Danio rerio: one gene and its partner. The protein of the gene in region 2 purifies or fractionates together with the protein of the main gene of each other region. This does not show direct contact. Links are inferred from orthologs where the notes say so. Each region holds a gene or a part of one and is shown on either strand. Other genes may lie near its edges.

Evidence for each region.
Region 1: the proteins of ubxn2a (region 2) and ppp1r11 purify together in Homo sapiens (affinity purification with mass spectrometry; 3 studies listed by BioGRID and IntAct, counting the BioPlex papers as one, with this or other methods). This does not show direct contact. The link is inferred for Danio rerio from reciprocal best matches to the Homo sapiens genes UBXN2A and PPP1R11.

What each region holds. Positions count from the first base shown.
Region 1 is NC_133194.1:29,863,139-29,868,924, reverse strand, and holds the start of ppp1r11 (E3 ubiquitin-protein ligase PPP1R11), read right to left. Parts: upstream 3,470-5,786; 5' UTR 3,109-3,469; coding exon 3,031-3,108; intron 1-3,030. UniProt on the Homo sapiens protein: Atypical E3 ubiquitin-protein ligase which ubiquitinates TLR2 at 'Lys-754' leading to its degradation by the proteasome.
Region 2 is NC_133195.1:47,885,531-47,891,504, forward strand, and holds the start of ubxn2a (UBX domain-containing protein 2A), read right to left. Parts: upstream 3,510-5,974; 5' UTR 3,392-3,509; intron 1,641-3,391; 5' UTR 1,622-1,640; coding exon 1,575-1,621; intron 1,453-1,574; coding exon of another isoform or gene 1,446-1,452; coding exon 1,310-1,445; intron 799-1,309; coding exon 689-798; intron 1-688. UniProt on the Homo sapiens protein: Acts to repress the ubiquitination and subsequent endoplasmic reticulum-associated degradation of CHRNA3 by the STUB1-VCP-UBXN2A complex in cortical neurons.

The sequences.
Region 1 (5,786 bases), on a different chromosome or scaffold from region 2:
AAGCTTGGTGGTTAAAAAGGTGCACATTTGTGTTAGACACATAACATGAAAATACTATTTTCTACATAAACTATGGCTGGGCGATTTGGCCTAAAATCAAAACCTCAATAATTTGATAATTTTTTCTCAGTTACAAATAATGAATGATCATTTTATTGGTTTATTTATTTATTTTGCCCTCATAGTTCACAAACAGGTTATGTACAGTAAATATTCTCACATATTACAAGTGATAGATTTTTTAAAGAAGGATGCATTTTTTGATTTTAAAATAATTGAAGGAAATACAGTCTACTATTTACTGAACATCAACGATGAACAACTGAAATTAAAACACACATTGCCTAAAACCAACAGTCAGTTTTGTCTTATAAAACAGTGAAAATAAATAACTTTTGGAAACAAAATAATTTATTCTCAGTGTTCTTTTTATATTAAAAGTAGAAAATAAGCAGGATCTCTTCTCAATAAAATAACTTGTATATCCTGTAAATAATATTTTAAACTGTGCATTTCCTGAATCTTCTGTAAACAAATATTTTATTGTAAATAATAATTTTACTGTAATAGAGAATATGCCGTCTGAAGGCATCTCTGGCGCAGCTTCCAATCATCAACAATGTAATGCAAAGGTGCGATGTGTGTAGTTAAATTTTTCAAGTGGTGCGCAGGTATGCAACTGCTCGAAGGCTGCGCCAAGACATACCTGTGCGTTCGACGCAGAAGTATAAATCAACCTAACAGATCATGGTACGTAACTGTAAAAATTTACCTAAAAAAATTTTAACGATTATAGGCTTTAAAAGTCGATTACTTCTTGATTAATTGCCCAGCCCTAGCTTAAATTACAGTAAAACCATAACCATATTGTAGCAGTTTATTTCATGATATTTTATTTCTGAAATTTATTTTAACTAAATAATTAAATAAGGAAGAAATAAATACAAATATAGTAATAGTTATAAATAACCACAACAAAATCCTTATAATCCCATGTAAAAAGAAACAGTAACTAGGGCAGCATGGAAAAAACTGGCTTTTTTTTATTGACTGTGATATATATTGCAATATAAATGCGGTTTCAGAAGATGACTTGAATAGCTTGTAAACAATTGATCATTTTAGATTGACTGGGATGACTCTGCTTAAAATATAAAAAAAAAAACAAGCAATATTAAATACAGCAGAGAAAAGTAGCAAATAAATAATGATTTATGATTTTCTGGGAAGTGAAACAATATTTAGAAGCAGAAATTAAATAATCATTGTGTAATAATAATAATAACCGAATATTAATATTAATAACACTGTTTTTTTTAAATTGGGTAAATGATGTACAACTAAACTTTAAGCTACAAATGTTCCATTTGTTGTGCCCAAGTAGCTTAAGATTGCTTCAGATTTAGTCAGTTCTTAAAAATACATGCAAATAATAAACTTCCACTAAGGTCAAAATATGAAATTACTCTGCTATGAAGTTAACTGTAAAATCTGGTCAACTATAATCCCCATTACATTGCAAATCCCTGTGATGTGACTCCTGCGGACTTGCACATTGCAATATCGATGCTGAAATGATATTGTGTGCAGCCTTACCAGTAACTATTTTCATGTGTTTAAATGGTCAAATTTTATTTAAAAATCTGGGATTTATATATAAAACTATATACATTTATAAATATATAATTATACTATAAATTATATATTATATTAGAGCTGGGCAATAATTTGATAACGATAATTATCACAATATATATATATATATATATATATATATATATATATATATATATATATATATATATATATATATATTTTTTTTTTTTTTTTTTTTTTTTTTTTTGATAAAACGATAATGACAGTTCGATAAGTGTTTGATAATGTTTATACACTATGTATAACACTGCGCAAGCATTTTGCAGCCTGCACATCCGGATGCCACACATAGTACAACTTTACAGCCTTACAGTGTTAGCTGCACATGGAGGAGTACAAAAAAAAGAAATTAAATGTTGTCCATGCTTAATCAGTCATCAATAAGGTCTATCGACTAAAGGGTTATTGACAATCAATAGATCATCAAGTAATCGTTAGCATCCCTAAATAACATAAATTAAAGGATATTTCACTCTAAATTCACCATCCTCACCATTAAAAAGACAGGTCATCCAAAACTGTAAATTCTATCACCCTTAAATCACCTTTTACTTGTTCCAAACGGGTATTACTTTTTCCTGATGTTGAACAATAATATACAGTAACTTGTAGGTAATGTCTTTGGTTGCTGAAACTTGAACAGTAAATGTTGAAAAGTAGTTAGTTTGTTCTTTTCTTTATTATTATTTTTATTTATATTGTCAGACAGCAAAAACATTTCACAAAATATGTTAAATCAGCTGCACAAAGGGATTGGCATGCTGAAAGTCCTTTAATATTGATAGATATAAAGATTTAACATTTATCATAATAATTATCGATATCGATTAATATGAAAAATAAAAATACCTTTTTGCCATATCTCCCAGCTCTATATTTTATATTAATTTTCATTTTAGATCAAGTAATATTTGTATTTTTTTATTTAGGTTTTAATATGTATACCGTTTATGTCATGTTTTCATATATCATTAAACTAAATAAAAATGTGGAAAAATATTATTCATTATTTAATCTTTCCACTATTTTAATTCATTTTAAAGCAAAACCATAAAAATCGTGCAACCAAAACTACCATGGCATATACAGTAAATGTCAATAAGGATACATTTACCCGGTTGTATTTTTGTCATGTTGTGGGTCAACCTGTAATCACAACACACTTCCAAACCAGTCAGCACACATAAACCCTGCTGAATACGCTGATTACAAAACAGGCCTTATGGCTGGTATCTAGACAGTCCATTTTAAACAACCAACGTAAATTATATCAACCACAAGAGCTTAGGACTGCTAGTCTGAGTCCTGTGGCCTGAATGACTTGCTATGCGTCTGCTTAGTGATGGTGTCTACCGTAACTAGGGCACACAGTACCTGCTGGGGTGGAGGCGGTGTGCCCGTCTGAACGGTCTCCGTTATCGTCTCACTCGATGTACCTGGAACCTCCGCCATCGCACTGATGAAGCCCGAAAAAACCTTTCAGCGGCGCTCGATAGCCTTTAATAGACAAATGCCTGGTTTCGGTTTTGGGATTTTAGGAAATAACAACTTCGGCCGTCGGCTGGTGGTGTCAAAATGTCGAGGTGGTCGCTTTATGAATCTCTGATGAATGCATGAGATGAATTTGCAGCAGTCTAATCACTCCTAAGGAAGGACGTGTTTGCGGACGGACCAGTTCGAGAGGTTGGCTGTGCTTCAAAAACTAGTCAGCTGACTAGCTAGATATGATTGTGAGAAGTCGTAGTTGTGGTTTTGGAAAGCGAAGCGCCACTAGCTAATTTCTGTTGTCTACGCGGACAGCGTATGAGCATTTGAGACGCAGTCTCTAAGTGTTCACCTAAAAACGCTCCGGTCGGAAACAGAGGACGCTTCGAGAACTTGTATGGTGATAAGGAAGAAATATCGACTGTAATGTGGCTTTCGTTGCTTACAGCTTTTGGATTTGACATTTAGCTGTGTATTAATCAAAATAGTTTAAGTCGTGTGGAATTTTAGACCTCAAATATCACAGGGACAATTCAGTGCCGTGTTCGCAATATGTCTGCGCCCTGTGACAGCACACACTGAGTGGAGGTACATTACTTTCTGTTTATCATTTTCTGTATGCAGCATTCAATTGTAAAATGTATTGTACTATAAACTATGCCAGCAATTGTGTTGCAGGACGTATTTATTTACATTATTTTCACAAACACGAGCTTTCATCGATTTCCTAAATCACTTCCACACGTTTGACCCTGCATATCATTATTTCAGACTATTGAATGATGGTGGTCATATTCATGTCACATTGCACCGGCATCGTACTAATTTATATTATTAATATGCAATTGTTATTTTTTGAATTGGTAGTTTTGCCATTTTTATTGCTTTTTATTCAAAATATTTATTTCATTTCTCTTTAGTGCTTCAACCTACATTAATGTCAATGCATTGAAATACTGTGTAGAAAACACATTATAGGTAATGTCCCCTAAAAGACCCAGGAAGATTCATTTTCAAAGATGTAATGTTCTTGCAGAAAGGGAACAATAAAGAAGAAAAACACAAGATGATCAATTCTGGTTGCTCAAATGGCAGTCCTTGGAGGCCTTTTTTTTACAGGCATACAAACAGATGATGAAGCATTGTCTTTAATCATTGGTTTAAACAGTTTGTTTAGTAGAATCTCATTGATCATATACTCAACTCTTTGTCAGCACAATATTCCTGCAACTGGCACATTCCAACCATTCAACTGATTGAAAACTACAGTTGAGCATGTGATTATATATACTGATAAAATGATATTAATACTCTTTGATTTATTTACAACCTTACAGGTATTTTCTATTTATGTTTTGTTAACATAAGTTAGTTATTCTGGTTAGCATGAAAAATTTATGTTCTAAACTAAAGCATAGGTCTCAAACTGGACTCCTGGTGGGCCGCAGCTCTTCACAGTTTTGCTCCAACCTTAATCAAACACAGATGATCCAACTAATCAAGGTGTTTAAGACTAGTAGGCTTTTTCTAAATTGCAAAAAGGCAGAGAATGGCCCTGTGTTCTTGTGAAGACCAGTCTTGCCAGGTCACCTCCGTAGAACAAACTAGGGAGGTCGTGAGGACACAGAACGCGTCCTCTGAGAAGTGAGATGCATGCGCTCTTCCCAATAGTCACATGACCTTCACTCATTTTTAACGGGAAATTATTTAAACATAACAGTATATATCCACTGATTTTTTCTCTCTCGCATTTTCAATGTATAAAAACATGCACAAAAACCTTACAAACTTAAATATACTCTACACAATACAAAAAATAGACTTTAATATGAATTTCAGCAATTAAACACCCTTAATGTGTTTATGCCTTTATAAAGATTTTCATGTTTATGTTTACTTTCACCATCTCCGTGAATTTAGGCAAACTCCTGAGACAAATAAGTTATATCTCTGAACTTTAATCATAAATCTATATTAAATGCTGTACTTCCCGCCTCCTTTATTCAGCTTCAATGACGTCTGGGACTTCTCAAACGAGTTTTACACTCAAGTCTCCATTGATGTGCCCTCGATACCAAGAACACATCTGGGAACCTTCACACATCCTCCGTTCTCTGCACGCAAGATCACTGAAGAATGCATATTAATAAACAGCTCTAGAGGCTATTAAGCAGGTGTGAGTTGGAGGTGGTTGGAGCTAAAGTATGCAGAGCTGCGGCCCTCCAGGAATTGAGATTGAGACCACTGTTCTAAAGCATTTATTCATCTTAGTTAGCATTATTGTCTACACCGATTTGTTCAAAGATGCTGTAATGAATTACAATCTTTAAAAAGAAAACTGTACAAAATGTTAGTTTATAACTAGAATGATTTTTAGTGTTTATTCTTTATTATTGCCAATTTACAACAAAAAACTTTTGTCAATGTCAGTTTTATTTGTATAGCACTATTTAACACAACCAGAGGTTGACCAATGTGCTACACAGTACAAATCACAACAGAGAAAAAATATAAAACTATGGCTAAAACATTTTTTATTGATAAAATGTCAAAACAAAGAGATAAGTTTTTAACCTAGATTTAAAAACAGACAAGGATGAAACGGATCTACTACAGAGAGGCAGAGCATTCCACAACCAAGGACC
Region 2 (5,974 bases):
AAGGCTGCGTCCGAAAGATCTGAAAATGTTCCTTCTAAGGCAGCATTTCAAGGCGGGAAGAAATCAAGGCACTTCCAAATCTAAATTCTGCTTCACTTCTTGTCTCAGGAGGTACTATGCTATGATCAAATTCTGAAGGCAGCATAAATATGTCCTTTGCTCCCTTCAATATCCCACAGTCCTGTGCGTTCCATTACTGACAGTCAAAATAAAGATGGCATCTCGAAGTTTAAATGAACATTTTTGACTTTTGATGGTATTTCTAGTGTTGAGTTGGTATTGTAGTAAGCAAATATTCCAAAAATCACCAAAGCTCTTTCTGTTTTGTTGTACATGCTTAAATCATTATGTCTAAAGTCTGAAATCTAAAGTCTGAGAGGTGCTTTAATGCTCAAACAGTGCATCCATAGTCAATGTAAAAAATTGCTGTCAAATTTACAGTATTACTGGAGTTTTCATTGCCAGTAATGCTGTCAAGTTTACTAGTGCACTGTACATAAGCAATTAGAAATGTGCAGTAAAACTGCAGCAGTTGTAATTTACAACCATAATTGCCAGTAATACTGTAAATTTTACAGCATTTTTTAAAGTGTAGTGAAGCAACAAGTCTTATCTAAGCTTTCGGACGCAGCCAATCAGTAGTGGAAAAATGAATCCTATGATGTTGCCATGTTGACGAAAACATTACCCCTTTTTAATGGCCTCCAAGAACTCTTGGTTTTCCTCTTGGGTGTAACTGCGCAAGTCTTCGTCATTCAGCGTGAAGCCATTTTTCCACAGTCTCACCACAATCTCAACCTGAAAATATCAACCATAAAACAGCATAAGAATGCACTTGAAAATGCATTCATTTGTTCATCTAATTATTAAATTAACATTGAAAATTCATTTATTTATTTTCCTTCTGCTTATTTATCAGTGGTCACCACAGTGTAATGAACTGCCAACTATTCCAGCATATGTTTTACGCAGCGGATGCCCTTCCAGTACTATACAGTCCTAGGGTCTGTTCTTGGTAGGTGGATTACTCAGTTAGCTGGATTTGGATATCGACATGATCCATGAACTCATCGAAGACTTGTCATAGCAACAGTTCTGGTAGCTCAAACCTCACCTTAGCTAACCCAGGTGTGCCTGATAGGGGTGGGAACTAAACTTTGCAGGACACCGGCCCTGCAGGACCGAGTTTGGACATGCCTGCTTAAAACCATTAATATATTTTAAGTTTAGTGAACCATCCCTTTAACTCAACATACCGCATACATTTTAGGTCACCTCTTGTACAAGATGTCTCAGTGATTTGTCTCACCTTTTTACCACTACTGGCAACACTGCTGATCTTCTCCACCTCATCGAGCAGGTCCTCGACGGAGAAACTGGATCTAATAGGGCTTGCCTCTTCATCCTCCTCCTCCTCCTCTTCCTCATTTTGTGCACCTTCACACCTGAAGGCTCATGAAGGCAGCAAAGTGTGATTCCTTTTACATTACTCCAATGCTAAATATACAATAATGGAAGAAATGACACACTCATGATACAATTTCCAGGCACAGAGCTGCGAACGGCGGCCTTACCATGTGTCATCTTCATGCCTTTCTCTTGAATCAATATTTTTCATCATAACGTCTTCTGTTGTCCATCTTGCAACACAGACATATGTGGGCATATATAAGTTATAAGGGCTGGTGCAAGCCAATGTAACCACTGCATCAGTGTTTCTTGAATAATACATGGAGCAGGACTTTCTTTGTGTGACTGACAAGTGCAGTGAGATCTGAAATTCTCAAAACATCGATCTGCTTTCAGGCCTCTACAGTAAATCTAATAGAGTTATATTAAATTACTAATATTACTCTAAATATCAACTGTATTTAAAGGGAGGGTTCACCAAAAAGAAAAATTTACACGCCATTTACTCAGTCAAGCGGTGAACTTTTAAGAGTGTCCTTTTTCTGTTTGAACACAAAAGGAGATGTTTTGAAAAATGTTATAAATCTTTAACCATTGACTTCAATAGTAGGAAAAACAAATACTATGGAAATCAATGGTTGCATTTTTCAAAATAACTTATTTTGTGTTCAACAGAACAAAGAAGGTTTGTGACAACAAGTGAAGCTTGAGTAAATGATGACAGAAATTTTAATTTTGGTTGAACTATCTATTTAATCCAATGTATAGTTCTCCGAATATTGAATTGTTCTACTTAAAACGTACACTATTAAAAAGAATAAACATTGATATATCCCATAAAATAAACAATATATTTTAGAAAGAGTAGATATTTTGGACATGTGCCATAAAAAGTACCATCATGCATATTATGTGTACAAAGATATTTTATCAGTGTTACACTACTTGACAAAAGTGTTGTAGTCAATCCCAGTTGTAAGAGCAGCAAATAATAACTTGACTTCTAGTTGCTCAGTTGGAAAAGTGGCAGAAGGTCTTTTTTTATGTATCATCTGTTGATCTGCATCCCAATCCTCATAAATACTGCAGAAGACCTACTGGAACCTGCATGGACCCAAGATTCTTACAGAAATCAGTCAAGTTTGGTAAAGGAAAAAAATCATGGTTTGGGGTTAATTCAGTATGGGGGGGTGCGAGAGATCTGCAGAGTGGATGGCAACATCAACAGCCTGAGGTATCAAGACATTTGTGCTGCCCATTACATTACAAGGCACAGGAGAGGGCAAATTCTTCAGCAGGATAGCGCTCCTTCTCATACTTCAAATTCATGGAGTCAAACACAATATTAATTATTTTCCCACTGCACTAAGACTTTACATTCTATACTGTACATTATTTCTAAGTGACAGACTTTAGTCTAAGCAAAGTCAGACCTTATTGTCCTAACTAAATAACTAAAATCAAGGCATGACCATATTTTATTTTGGTAAAATAAGTGTAATCTAGAGGCCTTTGCTTTTCATATAAGCCACTTCTGATACCAAATGATCAAATAGGAATCAAGTTATTATTTGTTGCTCCTAAAGCTTGGATAGGCGACAAGACTTTTGTCAGGTAGTGCACAGTTAATGATCAATACTTAACAGAGATGAACAGTTTGTTACTGAACGGTGACGTCAAGACGCACTGACAATACATGACGCTATCATGTGTTATAATAATCTCGGGTTATTTAAGCGACTGTTTAAATGTCCGGCTGTGATGGCAGCAACATGCAAGCTTTAAGCTTTCTATTCATAGCCAGTGAAACAAACAGGTCAAAAGCAGCATATTAAATGAAAGCAGTGCGCCAAAATTACGTAAGAACAGTGTGGAGACCACGCAAGCGCACTGCGATCCGTTATGACAACAAACAAGCTCTAAACACATCGCCTCTGATTAGCAGACTAACAATTATGATGATAGAAACATTGATGGTTACCAGTGTAAGGCTTCAAATGTGTCGTAAAACTGTCCTTTCAGCTCGTAAGTTTCTCTCGTTTGTCATGCCGCTCCTTACACAGCAGCAGTCCACCATTCTTATGACGTCTCCGTCGGACGACGTAACGTTGGCGCGTACGTCGCTATGACTTCATCGAGATCAAAATAATATACTTAAATGTTTTATTTGCTTCTCGTTTTAATTATTAGGAGTTTATTTACTGCATGCGTGTTAATAAATGTAAGCGCGCGTGTGTGTTTGTGTTGTGTTGTGGAGAGTGACAGATGGTGACCGCAGTAAGCAGTGCAGAATCAAAGTAACCAACACTGTGTGCAGATTAAAGCTGCCGAAGCGATTATTAATACCACACATAACCTGACCCTAGTGTCCAACATATATCAGGCCTGCTGGCAATAAAGTCATCTTCGAAAATGATTTTTAATAGCTATAAAAGGCTTTTTAAACACCCAAGAACGTGAGCAGCTAGCCAATCACAAAAGTTTGATGAAGCTCTCTGCCAATGGCGTGAGTTTGGGGCGGAGCTGTAGCCTTTTTAGCAATGATCATTATTGTTGTAGTTCCGTTTGTTGCCTCTAGTGTCCCTTTGTAGTTCCAATTTCGGGTACACTGTCGTCATAAAGGGATGGACATTAGCAACAAATACTCAGGTAGCCGTTGATACGATGCTCAATTGGTACTAACGGGCCCAAAGCGTGCCAAAGAAATATCCCCCACACCATTACACCACCAGCAGCAGCCTGAACAGTTGATACAAGGCAGGATGGATCCATGCTGTCATGTTGTTGATGCCAAATTCTGACCCTACCATCCGAATGTCGCAGCCGAAATCAAGACTTATCAGACCAGGCAACATTTTTCCAATCTTCTATTGTAGAATTTTGGTGAGCCTGTTTGAAATGTAGCCTCAGTTTCCTGTTCTTAACTGACAGGAGAGGCACCCGGTGTGTTCTTCTGCTGCTGTAGCCCATCCACCTCAAGGTTGGATGTGTTATGCGTTCAGAAATGCTCTTCTGCAGACCTCGGTTGTAAAGAGTGGTTATTCGAGTTACTGTTGCCTTTCTATCTGCTGGAACCAGTCTGGCCATTCTCCTCTGACTTCTGGCATCAACAAGGCATTTGTGCACACAGAACTCCCACTCACTGGATATTTTCTTTTTTTTTGGACCATTCTCTGTAAACCCTAGAGACGGTTGTGCGTGAAAATCCCAGTAGATCAGCAGTTTCTAAAACACTCAGACCAGCTCGTCTGGCACCAACAACCATGCCACGTTCAAAGTCACTTAAATCACCTTTCTTGCCCATTCTGGTGCTTGGTTTGAACTGCAGCATGATCATGTCTACATGCCTAAATGCATTGTGTTGCTGCAATGTGATTGGCTGAAATTTTCCTTAACGAGCAGTTGGACAGGTGTACCTAATAAAGTGGCCGGTTAGTGTAATTTGTCAAATCCAACACAACTTACTTATTCTTTTTTTTTTACAATTATTTTTAGGGGTTTTCACCTTTAATGGATAGGATAGTAGAGATTATTGACAGGAAAGCATGGGGAGCAGAGAGAGGGGAAGGATTGGCATAGGCCCACGAGGCGGGAATCAAACTCGGGTCACCGTGAGCACCGGAGTGCATGTGTCAACACACTAACCACTACACCACTGGCACCGACACAACTTACTTATTCTGACATGTGCATATTAAAATATATGAAAAATAAAATATGTGAAAATAATAAGTAATCATACATATTTTGTTGTATTTGATGACAGCAAAATACAAATGTTTTGAAGGATAGTGGCAAAGATTTAAAACCTACAAATATTATTTTGGTGCTGCAATGTGATGCTTAAAATTGAGGTTTTATATTCACACATTCAAACTTTCTCTTCAATAATATAGTTTCAGTAAAGTAGTGTTTGCAAATTCGAAATATTGAAAGCATTGCAGCCAATGACAATAAAAGACCAGGATTGTTCACAGTCAGTTAAACAGAGCTAATGTTGTTTTGAAGTTACATGTGATTTCAGGCTGAATATTCAAAGTACTATGGTAAACAATTCAGGGAGTGTGTAAAAAAATGTCACTGAACCAATGTGCAAATTTAAAACCAACTTTACCTCAATGCTTAAATAGTCTTATCAATATATCCTTACATGATTCTTGTTTAAAATATGCCTGACAAATATTGGTATATGAACTATATTTTCGGTGAGGCAGTGGCGCAGTAGGTAGTGCTGTCGCCTCACAGCAATAATGTCGCTGGGTCGCTGGTTCGAACATCAGCTCAGTTGGCGTTTCTGTGTGGAGTTTGCATGTTCTCCCTACGTTTGCATGGGTTTCCTCCGGGTGCTCCGGTTTCCCCCACAGTTCAAAGACATGCGGTACAGGTGAATTGGGTAGGCTAAATTGTCCGTAGTGTATGAGTGTGTGTGTGAATGTGTGTGTGAATGTTTCCCAGAGATGGGTTGCAGCTGGAAGGGCATCCGCTGCGTAAAAACTTGCTGGATAAGTTGGCGGTTCATTCCGCTGTGGCGACACCCGGATTAATAAAGGGACTAAGCCGACAA